Linked DNA regions of Elephas maximus indicus. The protein of the gene in region 4 interacts with the protein of the main gene of each other region in a biochemical or structural test. Links are inferred from orthologs where the notes say so. Each region holds a gene or a part of one and is shown on either strand. Other genes may lie near its edges. The genes, in order: NR2C1, NACC1, CAMK2D and HDAC4.

The links.
Region 1: the proteins of HDAC4 (region 4) and NR2C1 form a complex in vitro, tested with the Homo sapiens proteins (2 studies listed by BioGRID). The link is inferred for Elephas maximus indicus from reciprocal best matches to the Homo sapiens genes HDAC4 and NR2C1.
Region 2: the proteins of HDAC4 (region 4) and NACC1 form a complex in vitro, tested with the Homo sapiens proteins (2 studies listed by BioGRID). The link is inferred for Elephas maximus indicus from reciprocal best matches to the Homo sapiens genes HDAC4 and NACC1.
Region 3: of the proteins of HDAC4 (region 4) and CAMK2D, one has a biochemical effect on the other in vitro, tested with the Homo sapiens proteins (2 studies listed by BioGRID, with this or other methods). The link is inferred for Elephas maximus indicus from reciprocal best matches to the Homo sapiens genes HDAC4 and CAMK2D.

What each region holds. Positions count from the first base shown.
Region 1 is NC_064822.1:160,425,788-160,433,788, forward strand, and holds the start of NR2C1 (nuclear receptor subfamily 2 group C member 1), read right to left. Parts: upstream 3,013-8,001; 5' UTR 2,145-3,012; intron 838-2,144; 5' UTR 592-837; exon of another isoform or gene 1-591. UniProt on the Homo sapiens protein: Orphan nuclear receptor. Binds the IR7 element in the promoter of its own gene in an autoregulatory negative feedback mechanism. Primarily repressor of a broad range of genes.
Region 2 is NC_064821.1:31,760,315-31,767,789, reverse strand, and holds the start of NACC1 (nucleus accumbens-associated protein 1), read right to left. Parts: upstream 3,011-7,475; 5' UTR 3,004-3,010; coding exon 2,901-3,003; intron 2,399-2,900; exon of another isoform or gene 2,349-2,398; intron 1,867-2,348; exon of another isoform or gene 1,687-1,866; intron 1,663-1,686; exon of another isoform or gene 1,452-1,662; intron 1-1,451. Other genes in the region: TRMT1 (tRNA (guanine(26)-N(2))-dimethyltransferase), read left to right, coding at 3,425-3,684, 3,780-3,835, 4,081-4,223, 4,394-4,581, 5,706-5,821, 5,899-6,011, 6,864-7,012, 7,365-7,451. UniProt on the Homo sapiens protein: Functions as a transcriptional repressor. Seems to function as a transcriptional corepressor in neuronal cells through recruitment of HDAC3 and HDAC4. Contributes to tumor progression, and tumor cell proliferation and survival.
Region 3 is NC_064823.1:36,591,066-36,598,583, forward strand, and holds the start of CAMK2D (calcium/calmodulin-dependent protein kinase type II subunit delta), read left to right. Parts: upstream 1-4,507; 5' UTR 4,508-5,050; coding exon 5,051-5,115; intron 5,116-6,690; coding exon 6,691-6,785; intron 6,786-7,518. UniProt on the Homo sapiens protein: Calcium/calmodulin-dependent protein kinase involved in the regulation of Ca(2+) homeostatis and excitation-contraction coupling (ECC) in heart by targeting ion channels, transporters and accessory proteins involved in Ca(2+) influx into the myocyte, Ca(2+) release from the sarcoplasmic reticulum (SR), SR Ca(2+) uptake and Na(+) and K(+) channel transport.
Region 4 is NC_064824.1:141,302,574-141,310,231, forward strand, and holds the start of HDAC4 (histone deacetylase 4), read right to left. Parts: upstream 3,003-7,658; 5' UTR 2,499-3,002; coding exon 2,351-2,498; intron 1-2,350. UniProt on the Homo sapiens protein: Responsible for the deacetylation of lysine residues on the N-terminal part of the core histones (H2A, H2B, H3 and H4).

The DNA.
Region 1 (8,001 bases), on a different chromosome or scaffold from region 4:
GTACATATACACACAAGTACATTCACAGTGCAAACAACAGCATATGTTAAATACTAAGGGGTTCATAAAACCTCCTCGTCCAAGAATCCCAACTTAACACATGGAGTAAAATTTCAGCTACTGCCAGAACTGAGCTTCCTGAATGTGTATTTAACATATACAACTCTATGCATATTAAAAGCCACTAGAAGGTAAGAAAGGAGCCCTGGTGGTACAATGGTTAAGTGCTTGGCTGCTAACCAAAAGGTTAGGCTGTTGGAACTGACCAGCTGCTCCTCTGCGGGAGAAAAGACTTGGAGATCTGCTAGGGTGAACACTTTGCTGTCCAACTGATTCCTAATAAGGTTTCCAAGGCTGTAATTTTTATGGGAGTAGACCTACACAACTTTTTCACATGGAGCAGCTCGTCAGTTTGAGCTGCTGCCCTTTCAGGTAGCAGCCGAGTGTTTAACTATTGCACAACCAAGACTCCTCCGTAAAGATTACAGCTTAGAAAATCCTATGGGGCAGTTCTACTCTGCCCTACAGGGTCGATATGAGCAGGAATCGCTGGCACACAATAGAAAACAAGAACCATCTTTGTATCAGTACCTGGTAGAGTGCTTTGGCAAGTAGGTTCTCAGCATGTTTGCGGAACTGAATTACATCCTTATTTTCCTGCTTTGGAACCATCGGTGTCTTTTTAATGGCCAAAGAATAAGTCCTAACTCCTTGCCTTGGTATTCTTTCAGTATTTATTAAGCAACCACTACATGCCTGGCCCTGAGAAAACTATGGCGAACTCCTTTATAATTTGATTTCCTCATCTTCTCTCCTATCATTCCCAAGAGACGCCACCTATTCAGGTTAAAGTAAAAAAAAAAAAAAGATGTTACTTATTCCTCAATATATCGTTCCAATCTCCTACACTCCCTTCCCCACCCCAGCTCAGTTCAAATAGTTTTTACCCACTCTTGCCAGACTGGTCTAGTATTTACTGTGTACAGTAAGGTTGTTAACTAGGATTCATGAATAAACTCCTTTTTTTCTATTGTATGCAAAACTGTATGTGCACGTGCATTTTTCTAAGGAGGAGTCCACGGCTTTCAAAACAAGATTTTTAAAGGTTGCCGAAGGATTTTGTGATTTGGAGTCCTGGTGGTATAGTGGTTAAGAGCTCATCTGCTGAACAAAAATAGGCCAACAGTTTGAATCCACCAGACGCTCTTTGGAAACACTAAGGGGCAGTTCTACTCTGTCCTATGGGGTCGCTATGAGTCGAAATCGACTCCACAGCAATGTGTATGGAAAGAAAGTAAGGAATTATATTTCTAATATTTATTAATTATCGTATGCTACTTCTTTTGTCTTTTTTTATATCCCAAAGGTAGGAATTAGGCTCTGCGGCAGACACACAGAAGTAGGTATTTCAGGAATTTTTGCTGCCGTTGGTTTGTGTCTTCCTTAAAAGCCCAAACTTACTGGAAACTGGAGGAACCCCCAAAACTATGGCCTCCTGACACACTGTTAACCCAGAACTGAAACCATTCCCGAAGCCCACTTTTCGGACAAAGATCTGACAGGACTATAAAACAAAAAATAATACGCGTGAGGAATGTGCTTCTTTTCTTAGTTCATTCAGATACAGAAGACCAAATGGGCGGCTCCTGTCCAAACACAGGATGGAAAGTCATAAGAACTAGCCGAATGGACATGGGGCGGGGGGGGGGGGGGTCCTCACATTGGGAGGATTGCAACTAACGTCACAAAACAATGTGTACAAATTTTTGTACGAAAAATTAACCTGAGCTGTAAACTTTCACCTAAAGCACAATAAAAAACAAAATACCTCAATTCCTATAAAATTGAAATGCCTCCACAAGGAATGATGAAATTAGCAACATTTCGTGAAACCCCCCCCTTTTTTTAAGAATACAATATATTTTTCATAAGAATAAAATCTAAGTATCTTTTAGATCTACCAATCGGACATACAAAGTTGAAATACAATCTTCCTGTAACAACCAAGCACACAGCAAACACCGTTCAAAAACTTCAAGGTCAACAGCCTATTTACAACTTTCAGAGACGCAAAAACCCTAAAGGCTTTACTTTCAAGTCTTTTTTTTTCCTTTTCCTTTCCAATTGTTTTATTACAGACTGACCTACTTACTGCAGGTTACAGGGCAATTCAGCAACATTTGTAATTCATGGAACGATATCTGTGCGAGCTGAAGACAGGGTTTATTAACAAAAGCTACTGGGTGCTCGGACATGCAAAAGACACAGGTCCAAAGGCAGCGGCGACACTCTCCCCCTTCAAAATAAAATAAAAGTGAAAGTTGCGGGCGTTGTTCCGTCAGTCACTTGTAAGCACCAAAATCTGAGAGTCCCTAGGTGACAAGGGTTCAGGCCTCTGCCAGCGGCCACTCGAAGAAAGGGTCAGCCTCTCCCACGTCGGACCGCTCCCCGCGCCTCTGAGTCCCGCCAGCCGCCACGCGCCCTACAGGCCCAGCCACGGCGCGCGGCCCCTTGGGGAGGGGGAAGCGGCAGCAGCGCCGAGACGGAAGCTTTTCCTGTAGGTGAAAGGTCAGAGGCGCCGCAGGAGGCGCGGCGGGAGAGGCGGCCGTGCGCACCGAGCAGCTCGCTGACTACCTCCCGCGCCCCGCTGTGCCGCCCTCACGAGGACCCGCGTCCCCGCGCCGGTCACTCTTGGAGCCCCGCACACTCGGCCCCGCCGCTCCGGCCACTCTCCGTTCTTCCTCCCAACCCCACCTGAGCAGCCCACCGCGGCAGTGCCAGACGGGCCGGCCCTGCCGGCCGGAGCCCGCAGGCTGCGGGGGCGTCCTGCGGGTGCGTCCGTTGGCAGTTGGGTTAAAGGGACACTCTCGACCCCCGCCCCTGGTGCGGCCGCTTTTCTCCCCACCGGCGCTTCTTACCCGCGGTTCTCCGCCGCGCTCGGTCCTGTTCCGGGCGTAGACCCGACAGCCCCGCTGCGGCGGATGCTGGGGAGTTCCGGGAGGAGACAGGTTGGAGAAAGGTGGGGAGTAAGAGGACCCAGGGAGCGGGAGGAGGGAGCTTTGAGTTTGTGTATTTCGGGGGGGGGTCAGAGTTCGTGACCCCTCCCTCGGCTCCTTGGTGCGCGCTCCCGCCCGCGCCTGCGCATTAACGGTGTGGAGGAGCCGCGAGAGGGGGGCGTGACGTTCTCTGTTGGGAGGGTGGGGAGGAGGGATGAGAGGAACCCAGCCGCGGTTTTGAAAGTCGCCTGCCCCCTGTCGGCTCGGAGGGACAATGGCCGAGAGCTGTGTGTCCCCATCAGGTACTTTTAGAAGTACGGTGTTTGTCAAAAGGAAGTTTTGAGTCAACGTCTCAGATTTGAATAATAAAAATAAAACATAACCCAATTGTTTTTAGGCAATTCGGTTTCTAATTTGTGCCAAACAACTCTAGGTTTTATTAGAGGATTAACAAGATCCCAGTCAAGTATTTAAAATTTCCTTATTTAAATATAAACGAGCCGAGGCAGAATGATATATCGTAAGGCAAGGTTTTTATTTACCAATTATTGTGAGTAAATAATGGAGATGTGATTAAATGGAGCAAGAATATAATCACTAGAATGTAAGCTCCCTGAAGGCTGGTTTTTACCTGCTTTGTCAGTGGTGTATCCTCATGCACTAGGACAATGCCTGATGGTAAATAAAGGTGTTAAAGGGCACTGACAGAACATCACTTTCTGATGGTGGCCACCTGAGACAGCAAAGTGTGTGGTAGGAGCAGTTGCCCTGTATGCAAAGTACTGTGTGGTTTAGACTTTTAAGAGAAGGGATCCTCAGAATTTCCATTGTGTGGTGCGTAGGTCGTTGTTGTTGTCATCAAGTCGGTACTGACTCAGCGTCCCTGTGCACAACAGAACCAAACACTGCCCGGTCCTGCAACATTCTCACAGTTGTTGCTATGCTTGAGCCCATTATTACAGCCACAGTGTCAGTCCATCTTACTGAGGGTCAGCACTGTAGAAAAGCAGCTGCCGATTCAAGGCAGAAGCCCAAGTCAGGAAAAACAAATGTGCGTTTGGGAACCAGAACATCTCCTAGGTCATTTCCCTCTAGAACTATGCAACTGAACACATGGAAAAAGGGCATGTGGCAAGTGGAAATATAATTCATGACTCATTCTCTGTAAAAGTCCACCTCTTACTTTTACCATCATTTGTTGTGTGTTTGATGGTTTTAAGGCAAAGTACTGCCTCAATCCTGCAATCTTTAAACTGGTCCCAAAGGAGAAAGCTAAGTACACTGTAGGTCAAATGGAAAAGTAATCTGAGACCTTTTCTCTATTCTCAGGGCACAGTATGCATATCTGTAGTGATGCGCGAGATTACCCCTTATCATCTAATTAATTCACTTAAGTCACAGTAAGTTAACTTATTAAAACTTGGATGTAGAAGCCAATTTCGGAACATCATTTATGGGTGAAGGAGAGTTTTCCCTTCAGAAAAACCAAGAGGTCAGTGAGGTTCATCTTTAAATCTGTGACTCTAAAAGTTTTGGTTTAAAAGACATCACACAAGAAATAGATATTAAATTTATTTAATATAAATATACTTATTAACATTATTTACAATGCTAATTATTTATAAAGGATCTATTTCTATATGGACAATAAGAAACAGACTTATCACTTTAAAAAATGTTTCTAGAAATACATCATAAATCATTTAAAGAAACAACAGTATTTCAAGATTGTGTTCTTTCATGCCATAGGAACCCATATAAAAAACTGCCCCCCTTCATCTCTTCCCCTGTACCCAAAAAAGGAGCTTTTTGAAAATTTCTTACCTTAAAAAAAAATCCTACTAGAAAGTATTTGTCTCTTTTCTTAAAAGGGGAAAAGTCAGATAAGATTTTTTGTTTAGAAAATGACTAAAAGTATCATAAGCTCCAGGATAATGTTTGTGTATTGCAGGCACTTTTTTCTTGAAAATCAGAAGCAACTGTATTGAGCAAATATAAGTGTCCACTTCATGCAAGGCACTCTGCCCTGGGCTGTAGAGGAATCTCCAATGAACAAGATACAGTTTCGGTTCTCAAGGGCAGAATGTGACAAGCACCATAAGAAAGTGTTTATGAACGAAGAGCCACGGGAGCACTGAGGAAGGAGACACTGGATCTACTCTGGAGGAACAGGGGAGAGAAGGCTAGGATCAACTGTCACAGAGGAGGCTTTCAAGTTGGGCACTCTTGGGAAAAGTGAGAATAAAGAAAACACTGTGAACAGAGAAGGGATGGATTAGGGTTGGCTGCAGGGTATGATACCTGAGGAAAAGTAATATATAAAGGTGAGACATGGTTTGGGGCGAACTGTAATAGAATTTGCATTCCATGCCAAGCCACCTGGAAGCCACTGAAGGTTGTAATAAAAAAATATATATAATAATAGCAGGAGATAAAACTAGATTATAGCTATGCTGTAGAAAGATAGCTCTGGCAGTGCTGAAAATGGGACCACATAAAGAAGGTATTGAGGTAAGAAGAAAAGTTACTGTAATCATTGGGAAGTAGTAACAGGGACTTGAGTCAGGGCCTATGCAGTAACAATAAAAGGGCAAAAAGTAAAAGGGCAAGGAGGATGGAAAGGATACAAGGATAACTGCAAAGAGCCTTGTTGAGACTTGGAGACAGATCCCAGAGCCCAGAATGATGCCTTTCCATTATGGGTGAAAATAAAAGAAGGAGATTTGAATGGGAAGGTGAGTTGAGATTTAGTCCTATAAAATTTAAAATGCTTGAGAAGGACTCGTGTAGCTATCCAACCCACCTGTTGCCGTCGAGTCAATTCCGACTCATAGTGACACTCTAGGACACATAGAGTTTCCCAGGAGAGCCTGGTAGATTCAAACTGTCAACCTTTTGGTTAGCAGCCATAGCACTTAACCACTACGCCACCAGGGTTTCCAGCTATCTAACAGGTAGTTGCAAATGTGGCCTTGTAGGATGGTGAAGAGTATAGGTTTAAGATCTAAGTAATAATGAGGGCATTTTGGGGCTGTTTGAGTTTTAATGACAAGACTTCTGTCCTCACTTTCTTCTACTTAAAGTGGGGGGAAGTGAGAATAAAGAAGAAAACAGTAAGAACAGAAAAGGATGGGTGAGGATTAGCTGGAGGGTATGATACCTGAGGAAAAGGGTTAAGATACCTGAGGAAATACTTAATATTTTCTCTTAAAAAGCACAGGGTAGTTACTATGAAAGAAACTGCTACATTAAATACAGTATCTGCTTTCAATTCTCTGGAAATCTCAGTAATTATATTTCACTACAATGGATCTCAAACTTTCCAAAAATTTAGCACAATGAAAGTATGCATTCAAGACATATCATATACTGATATTTACATTTTAACTAAATAACCAAATAGCAGGCTTTCCCCGTTTCCAGATATATTCTACCACCCATATAAACTTGGCTAACAAAATTATACTTTAAAGCTGTCATGCTCACTGTTATGGATTGAATTGTCCCCCCCTCCCCCGGCCAAAAAAAAGTGTATCAGTTTGACTTGATCATGATTCCCAGTATTGTGTGACTGTCTACCATTTTGTCATCTGATGTGATTTTCCTGTGTTGTAAATCCTACCTGTATGATTTTAGTGAGGCAGGATTAGAAGCAGTTATGTTAATGAGGCAGGACTCAATCTACAAGATTAAGTGGTGTTTTAAGTCAGTCTCTTTTGAGATACAAAAGAGAAGGTGGGGGGACACCTCATACCAACAAGAAACAAGAGCCAGGAAAATAGCGTTGTCCTTTGGACCCAATGCCCCTGCATGGAGAAGGTCTGAGACCAGGGGAAGATTGATGACAAGGACCTTCCTCCAGAGCTAACAGAGGAATGCCTTCCCCTGGAGCTGGCACCCTGAATTCGAACTTCTAGCCTCCTTCACTGTGACAGAATAAATTTTCTTTGTTAAGGCCAACCACTTGTATGTCTGTTATGGTATCACTAGATAACTAAGACGCTCACTTAGTTGTTATATTACAGCGTTATATGAGTTAAGGGTTGGTCTGATGGTCTCATTTAAAGAAATGCTTCTAAATAATCAAGATTTTGACTGAAGAAGAGAGAATGAGCAGTGGTGGTTCCTCTATCTTGGGCAGCCAGAAGACAATAGCAGGATACTGGGTATATTAGGGAACACAGGCGAAGAGGACAGAGAGAGGTTCAGAAATGTGCGATGATGCCAAAGAGAACCTTTCTCATTTTTCCTAGGACTCTGGTGGGTCTTCTACATCTACAGCTGCTACAGCTAAAAAAGGAGCACTGGTTGGGGATAAGCACAAAAAAATGCCAGCCTTAATCTAGTTCAACCTGGTGTTCCTTGTGTAGGTTACTCTAAGCATCCATTTCAGCTTAGCTTTATAACTGCTCTCTCATGAGTAAAAGGGGATACTTGTAAAAGAATTTGATGGAAGCACATCGATTAATGTACTAAATACAGTATTCCTAGGATTAAGGTACTGGTTATACTTTCCATTTACAGAATGCAGCACATATTTTTTTTTCTCTGAAGTGTTAGCTATCAAGAGATTGATCAGTTTTAGTAAGTTATAAATGATTGATAAGGGGAGAAGTGTAATAATATTCCACATTTAAAACCTCTTTATTGGAGAAGAGGGCTATATGTTATAATTCTCAAAACCCTCCCAAGGGGCTAAGCTAAGAGCTAGTACAATCACATATGTGTTTCATATATAATTAAAGAGAATTACTAGAGGTTTCTTCTCTCTCAGTTTAAATTTAGAACTGGTTCTTGATTCAGCCAGTTGTTAGAAGATGAAATAGCCTGAATATTTTTTGAAAGTCTGAGGTTTAAGTCAAACCTTAGTCAGAAAGTAGAGAGCTCAAAGGGATGGGGAAGAATCCCAAATAACTTGTTGTGCCAAATGCTAGACCCACTGAATCAGAAAGAAATCATTTATGAGGTGTAACCTTAGTCTCCAAAAAGGAATCATTAAAAATTG
Region 2 (7,475 bases), on a different chromosome or scaffold from region 4:
AGCACCCAGAGACACCAGGAAGACTCAGTCCGTCCACAAGTATACTGACCTTACCCCTCCCTGCACAGGAAGAAAGGCCAGGAAAGAGGGATCTGAGAGAATCCCCACCTGGGCATCCAGAAGAAAGCGATGCTCCTCCAGGTATGCCCCTAGAAGGCCAACTCGGGGATTGTGGGGGGCTAGGGGGTGGGGCCAAGAGTCACTCCAGCTCTGCCCCATCTAGCTGTGTGATTTGCTACACCATCTCCTGAGTTTCTACTTCCTCGTCTATCCTATGGAGAAGGCCTGAGCTCAGCTGGTGGTGAGCAATCAGTGAGCTAACCCAATAGACCAGCAAGCTCAGCACAGGGCCTAGTCCAGGATGAGTACCCCAGAGGCAGCACTCTGGGTAACTCAAGAGGCTGGGTTGGAGTGTGGGTACCTGATTTGATCCCCTTCTCTCTGACCTGCCTTCACTCTGTCAGAAGTTTCTAAGACACAACGGGGCTGTATTTGCTCCGCTCCCCAATTCTTCACCTCTAGTAAAAGAACACACAGAACTCAGGTTCAGGGCGCTGGTGCCTGGGAGCCCTTGAAAAGGGCTCTAGGTCCCGTCCCCTAGACTTGAGCTTTAAGGCTCTGGTCACAAAAAGTGGGGATAGAATCCAGGACCCTAAAATACCCATGTCTACTGGGCTGCCTTCCTGCAGCTATATGGGGTGGGTGATGCCCACCTCCGTGATAAACAAGATGCCTGAGCTAGGTGTTCCAGGCTATTTCCCGAGCTGCCCACACAAACACCCACCAGGCTGGCCGGTGCCTCGAAACAGCCAGTAGAGGCCTGCCCAAGGGGTAGGACGAGAACTCAGGCTTCAGGGATGGGATGTGGGAAAGAAGAGCCCTCCCCAGGTTCGGCTTTGAGCTAACACCCGAGAGTGGCCACACCTTAGCATGTGCCTTCTGATCAAAATGTCTTTCCCGACCCATTCCCACACTCCCACCATCCAGGCCCAAAGTCTCTGCCTCCCTCCACTCCCCAGGTTCCTACAGTACTCGGTCACCCTACCTGATCTCCCCCAGATCTAGCCTCTGCCCCACCTCTCTGAGCTCTGACCTCATGTGACCCCTGCAAACATCTCCGGGATCTCCTATCCTCCCCCACCCGAACTAACTCCGCCCACACCCACCCTGTCCCACTTCCTTGGCCGCCCCCAGGCCTGTAACTTGACCCACCTCCTCAGCGCCCGGACCGTACCTGCAAGCCCGGCCCCGCCCCGACACCGCCCCCCCCCCCCGCCCCGGGCCGTTTCCCTCCGGCCGCGCCGCTCTCCCCTCTCCCCCCGCTCGGCCGGCCCAGTGCCCGACTCCTCTTTCCCCTCCGGCCTCCCCGGGCGCCTCATCAGTTTTTCTCCTCAGGCCCTCCAAGTTCTTCCCGGCACCTGCCCCAGCCCGGCCTCGCCCACCCTCCTTGCCTGGAGAAGGGGGTCCGGGTCAGATTCTGCCGCCCCCAGGCCCCGCGGCCCGGCCTGGCCCAGGCTGGACGCTCAAGGCCGCCCGCGGTGGCCAGGCCTCTCCGCACTCGCTGGCCCGGGCACCGGGAAAGCTGCGGGCTCAGCTCCTCCTTCCGAGGAGGAAGCCCCTCAGCCCTCTGCCCTCAGCCTTGGGACGCCCTCCGGTCGCCCCGGGGCCTGAGGTGGGCCCCCTCACCTGCGCCGCGGCCGCGCTCCGGGGGCTCCCGGCGGACTCAGCAGCGGCGGCTGGGGCCGGCCTGGGCCCGGGGCGCGCCCCCCTCCGCCGGGGCCTCGGCCTCCGCCTCCGCGGCCTCCGCGGCCTCCGCCTCAGCAGCAGCGGCAGCCGCGGCGGCCATTCATTGTGGGCCAGGCCGCCCCAGCCGAGCGCCGAGCGAGCGCAGGCCGCGCGCCGCCGCAGCCCGGCCGGGGGAGGAGCGGCCGCGGCCCCGCCTGCACACCGCCCCCACGTCCCGCCCCCAGGCGCGGCCAGCAGAGCGTCGAGCGCACCCCCTTCCTCCCGGCTCGGGCTCCTCCCTCTGTCCCTCGGGATCCCCTCCAGTAACTCGACTTTGCTCACGAGTTCGAATCCCGACCCCGCCACTTTCTAGCCCCGCGACCTTGGGGCAGTCGCTTTGTCTCTCCGAACCTCAGTTTCTTATAAAACGAAAACAACGAGGGCTGCTATTTACTGAGCCAGGCACTGTTTTAGGTTCTTTATGAGAACGACTTTGCTTAAGCTTCACAGAAACATTTTTTAAATAGAAATTATCACACGCACACACAGGCACGCACAGCTTTCTAGAAGAGAGATAAAAGAATTTGCTCAAGATGATTCAGTAACAAAGCGGTGGTGGGTACCTGACTTCAAACCTAGGCTCAGGAAGCGGCAATAAAAGCTAACGTTCCTACGACGTTTTCAAGACGCCAGGTTCCGTTCTGCGCATTTTACCTGCACTAAACTGGTTTATTTTTCACCGCAACTCAATGACAAACGTTAAAAAGTTCTGCCCATTTTGTAAATGGAGTAACTGAAGCACAGAGAGGGTTAAGATCAAGTAGCCAGCAGCAAAACTGGACTGGAACCCAGTTGGCCAAACACTGTTTTCCTGCGTTCATATACCATTTAGCACCTCCTCAGGGGAGCTGCCTTGAACACTTTCCAAGCATTCTGTCGTTTAATCTTTGCTCTATCTTGGAAGTTAGGATCCCTATTGTAAAGGTAAGGAAAGTGAGGCCCAGAGAATTTAAATAACTTGCCCAGAGCATGTGGTAGGACTGGGGTTCAAATTCAGTAAGTCTGATTCCAGAGCCTCAAGTTATTCCTGTTACGCTGGAGGGTGCTCTGAAACAATGTGTATACAGCATCCGACACAAAGTAGAGGATTAATAGGTGTTGGATTTTTCGCTTACCGCCCCTTTTCTGAGCTTCAACTTTCTCATGTGTGAAACGGGTTTGGTGGCATGCTTCCCTCCCAGGGGATCTGCTGTTATTAAATCCACTTGTACAGCACATTCAGCGCGCATCATTCCCACTGTACATTTTGATCCCGGTCGCCTACCGTACTTAGCATCGCTGATTGGCTGAACTGGTCACATGATCCACCCGCCTACTGTGCCAACATGGCGGCGCCCAGGTCCTAATTTAGGAAACGTGCACCGAGACCTATCTCCTTCTTGGTTTCCGGAGAAAAGGTAAAGAGGGCCTACGCGGCACGGGGAGGTATCCAGACCGGGGACAAGTCCGCTCCGAGGGCTTCCGGCTGGTCCCCGGAAGAAGGGGGAGGTGTCAGCGTCCCGAGGCCGCAAGGTCTTCTTAGCCTTCACTTTCAGATGTCTAGGCCACCCCTGGCCCAGAACGTAGCCCTCTCTGATCCTCTGTCGATCCCCCACTCTTCTACTCCCCAATCAGGAGTGACGGACAGAGACGCCCGCGGATGTCCCGCGCAAGGATCCTTCTGTGGCTAAGCCTCACCCATCGCTCCTCCCGCAGTCTCTGTAGAGCCCGCAGTATGGAGGGGCAGCCCCAAGAGCCGCCGAATCCGGACGCGATGGAGAACGGCACCGGGAACAGCGGAGAAGAGCGCCCACCTGAGGCCCAGGAGATTACAATCACCGAAGGGGCCGCCAAGATCGCTTTCCCCAGTGCCAACGAAGTCTTCTACAACCCGGTTCAGGAGTTCAACCGGGACCTGACGTGAGCAGGGGGTCAGGGGTCAGCCTGGCTGAGGGCAGGAGGCTGTGGGTCGGTGAGGCGAAAGAGGTGTGAACTGATCTTCCGTGTCCTGTCAGATGTGCTGTGATCACCGAGTTTGCTCGCATTCAGCTTCAAACCAAAGGAATTCACAGTGAGTCGGGGTCCAAGCTCCTGGTGGGTGGGGATTACACAAAGCTCTCCCTGCCTCACAACCGCATTTCCCATCCCCAGAAGGTGCCAGCCACATAGCAGGCCCTGGACTCTGCTCCATCAGCTTTTCCCCAGGGGGTTTGGGGAAGATTTTCCTCCATGAGCCTTCTGTTTTCTGAAGAGTTAGGGGAGATTTCTCAGAGGGGACTTTGATATCGTTTGAATCATGCTTCTGGATGGCTGCAGTCAAGGTGCCAGGTGAGAAGGACGTGCAAAAGTTGGTCGTGGACCTGTCAGAGCAAGAGGAGGACAAGGCTGAACTGAAAGAGGGGGAAAACCTGGCCCCAGGAGACCAGCCTCGAACAGCATCCGTGAGGGAGCTCTGTGAGGTGGGGCCTGAGCACAGGCAGTGGGAACCCTGGAGTTCAGTGGGTGATGGAGGGAAGAGGGCTCCTGAAGTAGGAGATCTAAATGAGGTGGGGGGCAGGGGAAGACTCCTAGGAGCTCAGCAGAAAACAGAGGTATGGATGTGAGTGAGGTTACCCGTATACCCCAACAGGAAGGCCTACGGGTGCTGGAGGGCCTGGCAGCCTCAGGCTTGCGTTCCATTCGCTTTGCCCAAGAAGTGCCTGGGCTTCAATCTGTGATCGCCAATGACGCCTCCTCCCGAGCTGTGGACCTCATACGCCGCAATGTGCAGCTCAACGATGTGGCCCACCTTGTACAGCCCAGCCGGGCAGATGCCCGGTAGGTATGGGGCAGAAAAGCCTAGTGTCCAGAAAATGGGCTCTGGAGCCAGGCTTCCTGATGTCACATCCTGGCTCTCATATTCTGGCTATGTGACCTTGGGCAAATGACTTAGCCTCTTTGAGCCTCAGTTGTCTAATCTGTAAAATGAACACAATGGTTTTACAGCCGCTACCATGATGATTAAATGATAGAAAATTCTTATATAGTCTTAACTCTGTCCAAAGATAAGTACCATTGTCATCTCTGTTTTAGACTTAACCTTTTGTACTTCTTTTATTGTTATTCAAATGAAGCTGGTGTGTATAGAGTGCCAGTATGTGGCAGGCACCATTCTTTGCAGCAGAATGCATCAGTAAACAAAACAAAATCCCTGACTTGGTGTTTTTGTTCTAAGGAAGGGGTTGGCAAACTGCAGCCTGGTTTTGCATGATCTTTGACCTATGAATGCTTTTTACATTTTTAAAAAGCTAAAAAAAAAAAAGAATACGGAGTAGAGACTATGTGTCTACAAAGCCTGAAATGTTTACTATCTGACCCTTTACAGAACAACTGTTCTGACCCCAATAGAGTCTAACTGGAAACAGATGATAACAAAACAAATGTGCAAATAAGGAAAAAAAAACTGAAACAAAAGCAACCCTTTACCGTTGAGTCAATTCCGACTCCTGTCGACCCTATAAATCATAGAGTAAACTGGAAGTGAAACGTACTATGGAAAAAATAGAGGGGAAGGAGATGAAGGCAGCCAGCAGAAGGGCTTACAATTTTAAGCAGTGTGGTCAGGGTAGGTAGGCTGCATTGAGAAAGTGGCAAAGGGAGCCACAGTAGTTCCCAGTCCATGAAGTTGTTTGGAGAATCGAATGAGTAATACTTCTATAAACTGCTTGAAACAGTGCTGAGCATGTCAGTGCTGTGTCAACGTTAACTATTATTATCATTGGTATAGATGGGTAGACTGAGGCCCAAGGAGGCAAAGCTGTGCAGTTAGTAAATGGTCAAGCCAGGACTTGAACCCAGGTAGCTGGGCCTGAGTCTAGGCCAAAACCACTCAGCTGTCTGAGATGACACATGTAGGGGAGGGGACCGGCCCTGCACTGAAGGCCTGGCCCTCTCACACCCAGGATGCTGATGTACCAGCACCAGAGGGTGTCAGAACGCTTTGATGTCATCGACCTGGACCCCTATGGGAGCCCCACCCCGTTCCTGGATGCCGCAGTGCAGGCTGTGAGTGAAGGAGGTAAGGCCGGGGCTGATACCACGAGAAGCAGGGCTTGGGCTGTTTGGAGGGTCCTCACTGCCCACTCCTGTCTGCAGGGTTGCTGTGTGTGACCTGCACAGACATGGCGGTGCTAGCAGGAAACAGCGGGGAAACATGCTACAGCAAGTACGGGGCGATGGCCCTCAAGAGCCGGGCCTGCCACGAGATGGTGAGCCCTCCACGCCAGGGCCACCCTCCCACCCCAGGCAGCCAGGGCCAGATTCATGCCCGAGTGTGAGTGACAAGCTCCTCTCTAACTGGCAGAGTTGCTCAGAGCATGGGCTGTCCATCTCGGTCATTGCAGGGCACTGGCTTTGCCCAGGGTCAGAGTGGGTAGTTCCATTATTCTTTCTAGTATTGTGAATTTTAAAAACTTTTCAAAATCGTCTTTTGTAAGGCAGTTTTTCCAGATCTAGCTTCAAAGCCTAGCTTTGCTGATATCTTTAGGCAACAAGTGACTTCTCTCTGGGCCTCAGTTTTTGATTCTGTAAAATGAGTGTGATGATGGTTATGGGGATTCGAGAAAGCAGGGGCAGGAGGCACTCTTGTCCTTGTTCCTTAAGGGCTCTGTCATCAGAGCGCTCTGGCAAATGCTTCCTCCTTCTCCTTGTCGGAGCCTCACAGCGGCTCCTGGTGAGAGAAGGCTCTAGTGGTTCTGCTGCACCCAGTGTCCCCACACTTCCTGCCCACAGAGCCCATGGTGGCCGGGACTCAGGTCCTTGGCCACAGCCCACCCCAAGGAGTACTGACATCTATGCTTATCAGATCTTCGGCTGGGTCTGTGCATTCCTTCACTCGCTTAATGCCCCAGCAGTGCTCTGAGAGACGGGCTGCTGAACTCTGGCGATGAGCTAACTGAGGCACAGAGAGGCAGAGCTCACTTGCTGAAGGTCACACAGCCAGGATGTGACAGGGGCGGGACTGGAACCCAAGGAGCCAGCCCCAGCCTGTACTGTGAGCTGCTTTTCAGCTAGGGGGAAGGGCAGGGGCAAGGTGCTAATGCCCATCCCCTGGCCACCAGGCCCTGAGGATTGTACTGCACAGCCTGGACCTCCGGGCCAACTGCTACCAGCGCTTCGTGGTACCTTTGCTCAGCATCAGTGCCGACTTCTACGTGCGAGTATTTGTCCGCGTCTTCACTGGCCAGGCGAAGGTCAAGGCCTCAGCCAGGTTGGGCTGGGTTAGGGGTGCAGCAGGATGGATTGAGGGAAGAGACAGGACCCTGACTTGGGGAGTGGGGGGACACGTTCCTGCTCTTGGGGTATGAGGGACATGGTCCTGCCCTGGGAGAAAGGGAGGAAATGGTCCTGCCCTGAGGGATTGGGGGATGTAGTCCTGCCCCGGGGGAATGGGGGACATGGTCCTGCCCTGGGGGGATGGGGAATATGGTCCTGCCCCAGGGGAATGGGGGGACACAGTCCTGCACTGTAGAGTCTGAAGGGATCTGAGCCAGCCTTAGGGAGGAGTTGGGGTGTGGGGGCGCGCTGGGCCTAGAACTTAAGCCACCCTCCCTTGCCCTCAGCAAGCAGGCCCTGGTGTTCCAGTGTGTGGGCTGTGGGGCCTTCCACCTTCAGCGCCTTGGCAGAGCATCAGGAGCCTCCGAGAGCCGGTGAGCAAGGGTCAGCTGGGAAGG
Region 3 (7,518 bases), on a different chromosome or scaffold from region 4:
CAGCCATTCAGCAGGAGAAAGATGTGGTAGTCTGTCCCTGTAAAGATTTACAGCCTTGGAAGCTCTATGGGGTAGTTCTACTCTATCCTACAGAATCGCTGTGAGTCGGAATCAACTTGACGACGGTGGGTTTGGTTTGGTTTTGCCAAAAGACCAAATAAATTAGTTTATTAAGACATTTATTTTTAATAAAAATATTAATTTTTTAGCACCTGCTAAAACAGATAAAATGTTTTGTTACACTTTTTCTGAAATACAACTAGAAATATTCCTTAGAAGTAAATGTGGTGAGACTTTGGTTTGCTTACTTTGGACACATCATCAGGAAAGACGAATCACTAGAAAAGCACATCATGTTCTTAAAGTAGAGGGTCCACGAAAGCAAGGGAAACCCTCAGTGAGATGAACTGGCACATGAGCTGCAACAAGACACTCAATATCGTAAAGATGGCACAGGACTGGGCAATATTTTGCTCTGTTATATATAATGTCGCCGTGAGTTTGAGCCAACTCAACAACAACTAACATGTAATAGGTATTAAGGAAAATATAAAGGCTGGACTAGGAGTGAAAACTCTCTGAAAGAGATGCAATAACTAATAGAGTACTCAGGGATGGTTTATTGATAAGGTGACGTTTGAGAAATGACTGGAAGTAGGTAAGGGAATGGGACAGGAGGATAGCTAAGAACATTCTCCAGAAGGAAACAGGAAAGTCCCTAATCAGGAGCATGCCAGGTATGTTCCAAGAACAGCAAAGAGGCCAGTGTGGCTCAAATGGAGTGATCCAGGGCACAAGATGAGGTCAGAGCGAGTAAGGGCGGGGAACAGATCTCCCAGGGCCTTGTAGGCCATTTTTAGAACTTTGTGTTTAGTCCATTTGAGATGGGAAGCCCTGGGAAGGTTTTGAGCAAAGGCATGATTTGATCTGACTGAGGCTTTGAAAGAATCGTTGTGGCTGTTATGCTGGGACGAGGATGAACAGGCCAAGGGCAGAAGGCTATTGAACAAAACAAGCAAGAGACGATAGTCCAAATTCATTTTGGTATAACTTCTGATTAGGCTACCACTGAAATAATTTTATATAATGTATAGGGTCGCCATGAGTTGGAATCGACTTGAAGGCAATGAGTGTAAGAGGTGAAAAAAAGTCAAAATAATACAGTGCAAATGATCACTATCTTACAAATATCAAAACCAAACCAGTTGCCGTGGAATCATTTCCGACTCATGGCAACCCCGTGTGCGTCAGAATAGAACTGTACTCCACGGGGTTTTCCATGGCTGACTTTTTGTACGTAGATCATCAGGACTTTCTTCCAAGGCACCTTTGGGTGAACTGGAACCTCCAACTTTTCAGTTTGCAGCTGATTGTGTTGACCACTGCACCACCCAGGGACTTTGTCTTGTAAATATATTCTCTTAAATAATGGTATAAAACTGTATTAAAAATGTTTTCAATCACTATAATTAAGATACTGTGCCTTCCAACAACCTTGTAAGACACCAAGTTTCTATTATTATTCAGCGTGTAAAATTATCACATGTTCATATCAGGATATTTCAGCACAAAATAATAACCTCTGGATAACTGGCTCTGTGTTTATAAAACCTGATCTTGTCAATGAAAATACTAACCTGGTTCCTCATTAATGACAGCCAAATTAAACAAACAATAAAATAATCACAAGGGTGTGGATTCCCTCTACTGCCCTTCTTAAGTGTTACCCTTTTGGAATCAGTTATGTATGTATGATGAAATTTAAATGCATTTCGACACTAAACCCAAGAAGAATAAGAGCCACTGTTTATTCCACTATTATGAGTCTACACCCTTTAAATTGAACTCTATGTTGTAGGATTATTCCTGAAATATGGAGCCCTTGTGCTGCAATGGTTAAGTGGTTAGACCCCAACAGCTGCCCGGCAAAAGAAAGGACCTGGTGATCTGCTCCCTTAAAGAATATAGCCTAGGAAACATTATGGGACTGTTCTACTTTGTCATATAGGGTTGCTATGAGAAAGAACTGACTAGATGGCATTCAACAACAGATCCCTAAAACTATGTTGAAGTAGTACTGACAAAAGCTTTGACTTGATTATCTTTTTAAGTGGTTCAGACTCCGGAAATACTCGTCAATATTTAAATAAGAGAAACATTTTAATTAGTCCAAGATAAAGATCAAAGAACAATGCAAATACAGACTAAGCAGAGTACTTACAAAATGTACTCATGTATTGTCTAATAATACGTCGGTATTAAAACTGTTACGTTTTCTTCGTTTCCCCATACAGTTATCATGAACACTTTACAAGTATCTGTAGTTTAAATAACTAAGACAAATACTGTAATTATGTAGACTTCATTGTGTGAATATTTTAAAAACAATTCCTTCAGAGGTGCAAAATCTTATATAACATTTATTTATTGTTTTAATTTTACTTTTGGTTTCATTTTTAGATTCAGAGACAGCATATTGCTAAACATTTAAAGTATATATTAAAAACCTTTAGCCTAACAAAAATTTTTTTCAACTTCAAAGCCTAAATACTAGTATTTAGACTTTTTTCTCTACGCAGTTTTACGGTTTTTCTTTTCTTTTTTTTTCTGTATCACACCTTAAAACCAAAAACCAAACCCAGTGCCGTCGAGTCAATTTTGACTCATAGCGACCTACATACTGTTAATTGTTTTTAAGACTCAGAAACAAAAACATGTAAACTTCAATTTTGTTGTAATAAGCATTAACAATTATGAACATTTTGAGTAATTCAGAAGAAACTCAATTATTAGTAGAACTGCATCCCCTGAATCAGGAAATCTGAGAACCTAAAGATTATGTGTGACCACGGGCAAGGCAATTAATTAGTATCAGCCTCCTGGGAGCAAGTAACCACCTTTTTAAGGCTGAGATTTCCTTTTCAGCTGTAAAATTGTGTCCCTTAAAAAATGTAATGCTAATGACGAACAAATTAGCAGTAGAATTGCAAGGTTTTTATTACTTGTATTGAAGAATAAAAGGCACTGATCTCAAAAAAATCGTTCATAACTCTTGTTTTGTGGTCTGTCCCTAAACCTGCAACTGTATACTTGATTAAAGACACAGGGCTGGAAAGAAGGCCCAAGGGTCGTTTTAGCAATCACCAACAATTTGTCTATTTTTACATGTAATGTATAATTATTTTTTCTTGTATTTACTGTAAACAATGACAGATTGGAAAATGCAGTAGGATACATTCTTGAACTGTTAAGCGGTTTTTCAGACACTCATTTACCCAGTATATGCACATGTAACTACCCTGTCCAGAGCTTAGCGCATTTCAGGCAAAGCTCTCCTTTTCCTTTTTTTTTTTGCAAAGCGAAACGGGCTGGACGTGATGTGAGTGACGTCAGCCCCACCAGGTCCCATGACCAACACCCAACCTTTCTAATTCCCCGCCCTCTGCCTCCTTTGGAACTGCAAATATCGCGAGAACCTGCCTTACTATCAGAACTTAAAGAGGTTACAGGGAGTTACTCAGAAGAGAAGGGAAGGTGTGGCTCTGTGGTGGAGTTTTCTGGTTTCATTCTAGTAACGTTCATGGCTGAAAGCAAAGGCTTTCGGGGATTGCCAGGGTCTGAGCAACCCGGCTTGGAAAGCGGCGGGGAAGGTGGAGAATGAGTTGCAATCAAATCAGTAGCGAAACGTGGCGCAGGGGCCGGCGTCCCCCCTCACTAATCGGGCGGTGAGGGAGAGAAAATACCTGCGCCTGGCGCCTGAGGGGTGGCGGCGCGGCGAACGCGGCTGCCGCGGGGGTGGGACTCGACAATGGCTGAGAGGCTTTGGGAAGCTGGGAACTTTCTCTGAAAGCAGCCAGCTGCCCACATCCGGCCCCTGTTGTGTCAGCACAGAACCACGGCAGATCAAGTGGTTGCGCCTCTCGCCCTCCCGCCCGGTGAATCGCGGCCCGGGAGTTGGCCTAGAGCGGTTCTCAGGGCCCGGCTCCCAAAATAGGCTGGGGCTCCGAGACCCCCGGAGGCTGCCCTGGGTCGTTCTCGAGTAGCCCCGCATCGTCCCACTAAATCAGTCCCAGTTTCGGGCAGCAGCTTTTCCGCGGGTTTTAGATTGGTAATTTTGACATCTGGCCTCATTCACCTAAACCCCCGCACATCCTCCACCCACTGGTCTCTCTCGAGACGGATGTGCCGCGCGCGCCTGTGTGTGAGACCGAGGGAGGGCGAACGCTTCACGAAGGGAGACGGTTGGAGTCGCTAGAGGGAGGTGTGGGATCAGCGAGGAGGGGGCTTCGCGAGGGAGGGGCGGGAGGAGGTGCTGGGGAAGGAGGCGGAGGAAGGGAGGACTGCAGTCGAGACTTGGCCCGAGCCGAGCGCTTTTTTTTCTCTCGGCGCCGTCTCTAAACCGCGCGGGCTCGTTTTGCTGCGCGAGGCAGCTGAGGTGCAGTGTCCCCAGTGCCGCTGCTGCCGGCGGGAGGGAGGCTGGCCCGGGCGCGCACGCTCGACCGAGCCCCGGCGCGCCCCGCGCCCGCGCCCGCTGACAGCTGCTGCCGGGCTCTGGCTGCCCGCTCCGGGCTCTGCGGCCTCGGCCCCTCAGCACTCCGCCCCCGCCCCCTCGGGCTCCCTCCCCTCTGCCACTACCCCTCCTATCCCCGGTGCGGAACGTTTCGCAACTGCTCGCCTCTTTCCCCGTGCCCGGCTCTTTTTCCATTTTCCCGGGCCCCTCTTCTTGAGTACTTTTCCCCCTGCATTTGGAGAGAGGGGCTGGAAAAGGGTCTGGTGGAGAGTGCAGAGAAGAAGAAGGAAGCGAGGCCCGAGGAGGAGGAGTAGGATCGGCGGACCGTGGAGAGGAGACCCCACGGCGCTCTTTCTGGTCATCTCTCCTCCCGCCCCGCCCCGCCCCTGCGCACACTCCCTCCTGGGCGAGCTACTTTCGGACCAGAAAAGTGAGGGCGGCCCTAGGTGACAGCGCTGCAGGGCCAGTCCCGAGGAAGCCGCGCTTCTGCTCGCGTCTAGTCCACCACGCTTCCAGCCAGGGGCGCAGCCCGGACCGAGGATGGCTTCGACCACAACCTGCACCAGGTTCACGGACGAATATCAGCTTTTCGAGGAGCTCGGAAAGTAAGCGCCTTTGCCCGGCATCGCACGTAGCCTTTCCAGCTGATGGCGAGTCGCGTTGCCCCAGACCCACCGGCCTCTGTCTTGGGGCCAGGGAGTTTGGAGGACCAGGGGAGAGGGAGGGGAGCCCCTGGTTTGTGCGCTCTGGCTGCCTTAGCAAGGGGCGGGGACAGGGAAGAGGAAGGACCCCCTTATCTTCACTGTGACCCATTCTCCTAATCCCTAGCCCACCCTCTCCCGCTCCCCACCCTGTTTCACCGAGAGACTTGGTGAATTTACGATCTCTGCAGTTGTAGCTGTCATCCTGAGGAGTGTGTGTGTTCGCGCGCGTGTGTGTGGAGAGGAAGCAAGAATCCATGTAAAATGCAACATAGATCATGTTTTCTGTAAATAGAGATGCCTCCGGGTTAGCAGGCGTGTCCGCGGTAGGACCCGTGCACGGATGAGAAGTTACTGCCACAGAAGATGCCATGTTTATTGATGCCGAAAGTTCAACTTGGCGTAGAGGCTATTTTGCATCTAGTAGTAGTTCTGTCCAGGAAAAGGGCCACCCAACGGACCCAACCCTCTGCCCCATGTTCACTATTAGTCTTTGCACTAGATGACTCCCACACCATCATCCTTCTCAGGATTTGCGCGTGCATCTTCGCGTTCTCTGGGAGGATTTATTTAAACGGTGCAGCGGAAAAGCCTTCTGGCGACCGGGAGAGCGCTTCCCAAGGGTAGCCAGCCTAGCTTTGCATAAAACGACCTACACCCGACTGGCAGAACTACTTGGATGTGTTAAGGGGGTTAGGAGACCTACTTAGGACCTGTGTAAAAGGACCTAGGGGCCGAGCCTTGAATGTTGATTTATGGGGAGTCAAACCCAATTCCTCAATAGCTAGTTTCAACTACTACTTAGGAAAGGGGTGCGTTTATGTGTATGTTGCTGGTTTATACAGTTGAATTAAAGGCAGTGTATATTTCTTTTAGGTGCAATGTAAACCATAGCCTTATTTATTGTCTGCTGTTAAAACATGGAGAATATGTCGGAAGAACAGCTTAATTCAAAACTCTCCCCTCCCCCACCCGAAAACAGGACAGAGAAATCACCATACCAGGATTTGTTAAACCACGCAAATGTGCTCAAGCTTTATGTTTTAATGAAAATAATCGCCATATTTACTTACTTGGAGCCATATTATTTTTTTCCCTACCTAATAAATAGGCAGCAGATTTTTGCTGCTCCTCCACAGCTCTGTTTTTCGCAGGGTTTTCTCAGAGCATTTGGTGCTGTGTGAGTGTGAACTGTAAAATGTTTTCAAATTTCATGTGTAAACGAGCCGTCATAATTGGCAGTTCCTTTCATTTTGTTGATTAATTATGTGGGCTCCCAGTTAAATAAAATTTAGTTTTTTTCCAACATTAAAGAAGTCTGGGTTTCCAGGAAGGATTGTTCATTTTTCTGGATACTACTGTAGTGCACTGGTATTTGACAATCCACTAAAATCAATAAAAAAGCTCAGATTGTTGTAATTTCTTTTGTAGAGTATCAGAGCTGATTATATTGATGACTTGCTAATTATTGGTTTTCAGGGGGGCATTCTCAGTGGTGAGAAGATGCATGAAAATTCCTACTGGACAAGAATATGCTGCCAAAATTATCAACACCAAAAAGCTTTCTGCTAGGGGTGGGTATTTTTAATCACATATATATGTTCATTTTCTGCTTGTCGTGTTGATTGTTAGTTCTGTTGTATGTGAATATGCCATAGAGTTATAATTGAATTGTAGACTTAGGTATCATATTACATATTAGGGTTATTTCCTTCCTGAATGACTCTTAGTTTGTACACTTTAAAAATAAATGAGCAAATATAATTGTTATTATTTAATACATTGTTATTAAAATTCTCTCTCTCCTATGAGCAGTGGGATAAATAACTATATTTTAAAGCTAATAAATGTCGCTAAGTGTATTTTGCCTTCAGTTCTAATGTGAAATAACGTTCAGAAGGACCCTGGAATGGAAAAATATGTCTCACAATTGTCATAATTCCCTTTTGCTTTTGAGAGGAAAAATAGGTCATAGCTCAGTTGGATCATGTTATTTCAATTGTAGTTGCACTTGAACGTAATTCACTAAGGCCTGTTTAACAGTAACAGTAATTTATGATTACTGTATTCTAGGAAGTTCGATTTAATTTTGATGTTTTTGTGTGCAGTTCAGACTTTACTTGGTATTCTGTTTTAGGTCTTCTCACAGCATCGTGTAATGTGTTTTACACATGCAGTTTATAGTCATAGAGATGATTCTTACTCATAAAATAGCTGTTGACATAAGCAAAAAAACTTGGAGGAACCTCACTGTGATCTTTTTATTTCGTCAAACTTATGTGAAGATACTTGTCTACGGTAGTTTCA
Region 4 (7,658 bases):
GATCCCTGACCCAAACTCCAAGGGTCCTGCATTACACACGCCCGTGTTCTCATTAGGCCTCTCTGCAAGGCACACCTGGCCTGGTGCTGCTGACACTCCAGTTCATGACCTTCCCGACTACAGTGCAAAAAAGAAGTGGGATAAGATGTCTTCATTTAAAAGAAGTACTCAGATGCCTCACTCGACTTCCATAGGCCGCCTTGGGTGGCTCCGCGGGCCCTTGAGGGCCACCCCCACCCTGTACTCCTGGCTCACTCCACCCCCTGTGCAGCCCTATCACCTCGGGGCTGGCAAGAAGTGGCCTTCAGCCTGGGCCTGGCACCAGGCCTGCCTATTTTTAAACGCAGATAAAGGCGGGGTGGGGGGTGGCAAGAGCAAAGCAAGTGGCCCCACCCCCCCGCCTCAAGGGTCCCGCAGGCGACCCCCATCAATAGATGAGGGGTGCCCCACTTTGGATCCTGCCACCATGTGGCCCCGGGCAGGAGCGATTCAGCAAGAGAAAGTACACTGGTGCCCAGCCCAAGGCCTGGGGCTGCACCCCGATGGCCACCCAGGGCGGGAAGGACCTCGGGACAGACGGAGTGTGTCCAGAAGCAAGAAGCGGTGTTATTTAGAACCATGGGGATGCAGAGCCCAAATCTCCCCAGGCAGCAGCCTCCCAAGTGATGCCATGGGGAGTGGGGGTTCCAAGGTCAAGGATCCCCACATGGGGCCTCCTACCCCGGCTCCAGCCCAACCGCTGGGACCCTGCCCAAGGCCCGAGGGGGTTGGTGGTCACAAAGACAGACAGATGTGTCCTCTGGACGGTCTGTGCAGTCCCACCTCTCATGCACAGAACAGCAGTGGCCGCCCAGGCCTCTCAGCATGCCTGGTATCTCTAACGTGCTTTTCAAAACATTAAGGACAACTCTGGATCAAGGAAAGGCTCCAAGAGAAATTCCACTTAGATAAGTCTCTGACTCCCACATTCCGTCTGACCCAACGGTGTGGGCTGGGTTTGTTTTTAGTTCCCTTTCGGAACAAGCAAAATGGAGCAAGGGCGCAGGAGCACATCAAATCTTTTTCCCGGGGTCACCATGTGGCGTAACATCGCCCAGGACTTAGGACTGCAGACTGGAGCACGCCCACGTCAGGACTACACTTTCCCCGGCACTGGGGTTCCTCCAAACTGGACACCCAAAGGCCACCGGCAAGCACGGTGAAGTGCCCTCGTCCACCCTGAAGCAAGGGACCCAGAACTACAAGCCAGGAGAGACCAGAGACATGCCGCACGGTGGCTCTGGGGCATGCTGCCTGGGTGCAAAGCCAGCACAGCCCCCGAACAGTGGGACCCTCAGCCAGTCGTTCAACCTGCCTGGGCCTCAGTTCTCCCTGCTGTAAAATGGTGTCCCAAAGGCACCTACTTCCAGGGTGTGTTTTGAGAATCACGTAACAAATTGCACTAACACACTTTGTGCACAGGCCCAGCATGCAGAAAGCACCCCAGACTCGTCAGCTATCGTTTTACAGGTAAGAAAGCTGGAAACCCAGGGGATCAGAAGGAGCCACAGATCTCCTCTGGCCCCCGAGCTGGGTGCCTAATGAAACAGGACGGACGGATAACCCGAGTGGTGTCTAAGAATTCGGCATGGCATTAACAGGAGTACAGGGTCACGGCCCCGTAGGGTTCCCAGAGGAGGATATGAGCAAAGTAAGGGGTCTGTAGATGTGAAACCTCGGCTACCACAGCAGAGACACTTGGGGTTTTAGTTGAGATCAAATATGGAACTACCACTGTGGCTAGCCATTGCTTCAGCAGGTGAGGCGCTCTGCTCCTGATCTCGGTGAGTCTGATTTTCTAGATCAGAAAGGCGTGAATGTGGCAAGTCAAGGACCCACATCCCAGGGCGTTCCACAGAGCACGAGAGGGGCCAGGCCAGGAGAGGAGATGCAGTCACCCTCTGGCACCCACAGGGCCACTGGCAGGGGGCTTGGCCACAGCAGAATCCCAAGTCCCTGCCTCTGGGCGCCCCAGCACTGTGGTCTGCTGTGCGCCAGGAGCCACTATCGCCACAGCTGCACGTGTGCAGGAGCGAGCGCCGAAATGACGCGCTTCCACCCCTCCCACCACACAACCCAGCCACCACCAGAGAAACGGCACGTGCCCGTCCATGCCCCTCTCACTCTAAACCCAGGCCCTGCGACCAGCCATCAGTAGCAGGATGCCAGGGGCCCCTCGCCGAGTTTCCATGCTCTGAGCCGCTTCTAGACGGCCAGCCACCAGGTCGCCGTGCCGAGTCCCCGCACAGCTATGTAACAAGCACAGAGCAGCGGCACACGTTTTTCAAAAGACTCCGGGTTCATACTTTACCTTCTCCGAGACGTCTGCTTGGCTCCCAGGACCCTCCAGCCTGCCCTCCCAGAGCTGCTGGGCCTTCACAGAGAAGCAAACTCACACCCGCCTCCCGGCACTCACGGCTGAAGAATTCCAGCGCTCCGCCCTGACATCTGGTTTCCATTTCATACCCGTGTTGTCAGATTACATAACAAGCAGATGATACACGGGCTCACGCAGAAGGCTCGACACCACTGTTTACTTTCCGGCCCATGAGTGAGCGTTCTGCCAAACCCGATTTTGTGCGGGGCCATGTCGCCCAAGCTCCCACCAGCTCGCACCTCAAGTGCCCTGGAGGTCAGGAGCAAGGCACCGCCTTCTGGGGCACTCGCTCATTTACAAGGCCAGTTCTCTCCCTCTGCTTCCACGTACAAGTTTGAGAGCACTATAACCTCTCCGCAGCCTGAATTTGATTTTAGGGCACCTGAAGTGAGGTGTTTGTTAGCTGTAGAAGATGTGGGGAACTGCACTTCCGGGCTGGACTGACTGACTGCATGATCGCAACCAGAAAGGGCCGGGCGTCTGTGCGGCGGACGGGACGTGGGGGACTTACGTGTGAAGAAGAGTTCAAGTCATGTAGGGTTTCTCCACCCCAGGCGTAAGCATTCCAGGAACTTGAGGAGCCTTATCTGGGAAGAAAGCGCCCTACCCACCCCACCCCCAGCTTAGTTGGGAAGCTGTAAGGGCAGTTGTTGTTTAGTAGGACATTCCAGCGTGCACTGCAGGCTATGATGTTGCAATGGCCAACGTGGAAACACGCAGCCCCTTGGCGCACTCCTGAAGCTGCTCCCAGACATACCACCAGCTGCCTCTGAAGGCACGGGGGAGGGGTTGGCCCAGGTCGCCACTGCCAGCCAGCATCAGGCAGGAGCCTGGAGCTCCGTGATCAGCCATCATCCTGCTCAGAATAAGGTTATCTGTGTTGTGGCATGTATCAGGACTTCATTTTTCTTCACAGCTCAGTGGGATCCCACGTGTGAGCACTGTCACACATGGGAGCAGCATCCCACATGTGAGCAGTGTCCCATGCATGAGGGACGCCCCACACGTGAGCGGCGTCCCACATGTGAGCAGTATTCCACGTGTGAGTGGTGTCCCACATGTGAGCTGCATTCCACGTGTGAGTGGCATCCCACGTGTGAGCAGTATTCCACCTGTGAATGGTGTCCCACCTGAGAATGGTGTTCCACCTATGAGTGGTGTCCCACATGTGGGTAGTATTCCACCTATGAGTGGTGTCCCACATTGAGCAGTATTCCACCCGTGAGCGGCGTCCCACGTGTGAGCAGTATTCCACCCGTGAGTGGCGTCTCACGTGTGAGCGACATTCCACCTGTGAGTGGTGTCCCACGTGTGAGCAGTATTCCACGAGTGGTGTCCCACATATGCACAGTATTCCACCTGTGAGTGGCGTCCCACGTGTGCGCGGCGTTCCACCCGTGAGTGGCGTCCCACGTGTGCGCGGCGTTCCACCCGTGAGTGGCGTCCCACGTGGGAGCGGCGTTCCACCCGTGAGTGGCGTCCCACGTGTGCGCGGCGTTCCACCCGTGAGTGGCGTCCCACGTGTGTGCGGCGTTCCACCCGTGAGTGGCGTCCCACGTGTGCGCGGCGTTTCACCCGTGGGCGGCGTCCCACGTGTGTGCTGCTTCCCACGTCTGAGTGGTATTCCACACATCGGCAGCATCCCACACGAGAAGCATCCCGTGTGCAAGCATCCACTGCCCTGCTCAGCACAGGTTCATTCGCTCTTCACGGCTGAGTAGCATTCCATGTACGAGTGGCCACTGTCTTCAGTCAAGACAGCCTGCTCCCACAGTGGCAGTGACGACCTGAGGAGCCAGGTACCTTAGGTGTCACATGCGGCAGGTGGTCAGAAGCGAAACCCCGGGGCGCACAGTCCAGAGCAATCATTTCAGCCAAGTGAACAGTTCCATCCGTGAGAGACAGGCCTCTGACAACATCTCCTTACTGATGCCCTGGAGCATGAGGGCCGACGGATGAGGGGGAAACCGAAGCGTCCACGGACCTGGGGCCAGTTCTTGTCCCCGACGTGGGTGGGAGCCCAAGCCCCACAGTGGTCCAGGGCTCTGTGAGAGCACACTCAACTCCAGAGCCAGCGTGGTGGTCAGCTGACTCTCCTCCTGAACCAGGGCCTGGGGATGCTCACTGAGGAAAAGCCATGCACGTGCGGCACTCAACAAGAATGAAAGTTTATCTACAGGAGAGAGTACTGCCCACCAAGAACACGAGGCTTGGGTGGAGGGAAGTCCTCGCTAGGAGATGCCACTTAGCTTGAGTCCTGCGGGCAGTGTGGGGTGGAACTTCGGAGCAGATGGAGAGCATACACCAGGACACGGGCAGCCAGCGGCTGCCCGTCACTAGGAGCTTGGTTATGCCCTTCTCTCTGGCCCTTACAGGGTGAGAAGGCAAAGGTGCAGGTGGCATCAGCAGACAGGTGCCCAAAACAAAGGAGGACCTGGACACTGAAGGCTGAGCCAGCGTACGCACAAGGACAGGGCTCAGAGCCGAGCTGGCTTCACAGAGCACGCCCGAGAGTGTACAGACCCTCCAAACTCAGGCCCCACATGCCACCCAGCCAGCTGGACACCCTCAACCAACAGGCAACTCTTCTTCATCCTTTAACATACCCTTTCATTTAAGCAATTCCATAGTGTAGCAGTTATCACGTCTGCTTTACACGCAGAAGGTCCTGGGTTCAAGCCCCAGTAGAACTATATGGGGACTCCTTTGGAAACCCTGGCAGCATAGTGGTTAAAAGCTATAGCTGCTAACCAAAATCTGCAGTTTGAATCCACCAGGCGTTCCTTGGAAACCTTATGGGGCAGTTCTACTCTGTCCTACAGGGTCGCTATCAGTCGGAATCGACTTGATGGCAATGGGTTTGTTTTTTTGTTTGTTTGTTTGTTTTTCATTTAGTAGCCTGGAACATCACTTCCCTAAGCTGGGTCCCTCTCTGCAGACATGTGTGTTCTCTTCCTGTTGTGCTGATGGAGTTAAAGCAGGGCCCATGGGAAGGGGTAGCAAGCAGTGCTCGTGTCACTGCACAGATGTCCACAGCCAGGCGCACTGGGCCCAGGAACCATTGAAGGTGGCCCTCATCACCATGCCAACACCCTTCCTCTAAAAGAGACACAGGATGAAATGCTGAACCCTGTCTCCACAGCCTGGCCTCTGACTTAGGTGGCATCCACATCCAGTGACAAGCCCTAGGACAAAGCTGACGTCAGCCTGTCTGAGCCACATTCTTCAGCCAGCACGGAGCCATCATCCTGTCACCTGCTATGAGCACCCTTCCAAACCCTAGGGTGATGCCTGCGGCCTTTCAGCCTGAGACAGGCTGGTTTCCCACCCCTGGGAGGTTACCGCACTTCTGTCCACCGTGCGCCTGCTCGGCGCTGGCCCTGCTCTCTGAGGGTATCAGTCCTGAGCAGTCAAACCAAAGAAAAGGATCCCACCCCTCCCATAAAGGCAAATCAAGGTTTGTAAGCCTGGCGGACACACGTCAGCATCAGCCACATGTGTCTAAACCAGCGGGGTGGGGAGATTCCAGCCCAAGCCCAGAACGTGGCTGAGAGGTGGTGAGAGATGATGGAAAAGCAAATTCCGCTCCTGGGGAGTGAGAGCAGCTCAAATGCTCTTCCCCAGCTCCCCTACTGCTCCTGAGAAGGGGCCCCTGGTAGCCTCTTCACTCAGGAGCCTAGGGGACCACCAAAGGTCAAAAGCCAGAGGGCCAGTGATGGCCACCCACCTGTCTCTCACCCCTCCTTCCTCTTCCTCTGCACCCACAATGGAGGCCGCAGCTCCTACACCTGCACCCCACTGGCTAAGCCACCAGATGAGGCAGGCCGTCTCCCCCAGCACCAATGGGGAAGCCCCCAGGAAGGCTCCCATGCCCGTGCCATGGCCGGGGCACTGCCACAGTCCTACCTCAGACAGCTTTCCTACATGGTAGGCTGGGGTGGTGTATGCTCCAGAATAAAGAGAGGGAATGGCACCCCCGAAGCCCCAGGGCACGGGCCTTGCTTGCAAACACCAGGATGGAGCTGCGAGCCGAGGCCTGGGGGCAGGTCCCCAAGGAGAGGCGCCACCATGTCCTGCAGGCCAGGTGCAGGGCTTGGTCAGGACACCACTGCGGCTCCCTCTGGGACAGCCTTTCTCTCACTAAGCCCTGGGTGATGCAGGGTGGGATGAGGACTTTGCTTACCCATCTCCAGGCAGGGCCCCTCAGCCTTGCCCCTGCACAGAAGCCTCTGTGGTCACTGCCGGCCCAAGAGCTCTCGGCCAGGGACTGGCCCTCTGGGAGCCCGAGCAAGCTGGGGAGTACACACGTGGTGGCCATCCAACACTGCAGGCCCAGGCACGTGTGACCACAGGCCCAGCTAAGCAGTGCACTTTGGGAAAAGCCGAGGACAAGTGAGCACAGAGGGACTGCCCCAATGGCACCTTCTCCACATGTCCCCTGGAGCCCCCAACTGAAAGACTCACCAGCGCGAACCCTGGGAGCCTACCTGTGCCCACTGGCTGTCCCAGCAGTTCTCACATCTCCCAGCAACCCACAAGCTGGCATCAGCTCCGCTGCCCAACAACACCACAGAGGCTCAGAGGCTCAGACAGTGTTCTCAGGGCCACACGGCAACAACGCGGCTGTCCTGACTCAGGCGGCAGGCTCCACCTGCTGTACCATCCCAATGCCACAGGGGCTGCCTCCCCGGGTTTACAGAGTGGGGACACCATCCACGACATGGCCCGTAGTGCACGTGCCCTCCACAGCTCTCCCCCTCCCCACACCAGAAGAAGATGCCCACTGGCACGGTGGTGTCTAACCTGCAGCTTCACTCTGCTGGCTGCCTGCCCCGGGAAGCGGCGCCTGGGACCTGAGGCCCTGGAGGAGAAGCTGCGGTCACTGGTACTGCTCACCTCCGTCTTAATCAACAAGCCACTGACGAGAGAAGGAACCTCTGTCAGGAGGAATTGAAAACCAACCCCCAATCGTGGCTGTAACAGATCCCAACAGCGCTGACACGTACTACCAAAAAAAAAGAAAATCACACTGGGAAAGGATGCACTAAGTGGCCAAGACAGCCTACATAGCCACTGTATCGGTCTGCGAGGGCCGCCGAAACAAAGCACCACAAAGTAGGTGGCACAGAACAACAGAGGCATGTTCTGTGGCAGCTCGAAGGCCAGGAGTCTGAACTTAAGGCGACGGCAGGGTCGTGCTCTCCAGAGGCTCTGAGGGAAGGTCCTTCCTTATTGCTCAGCT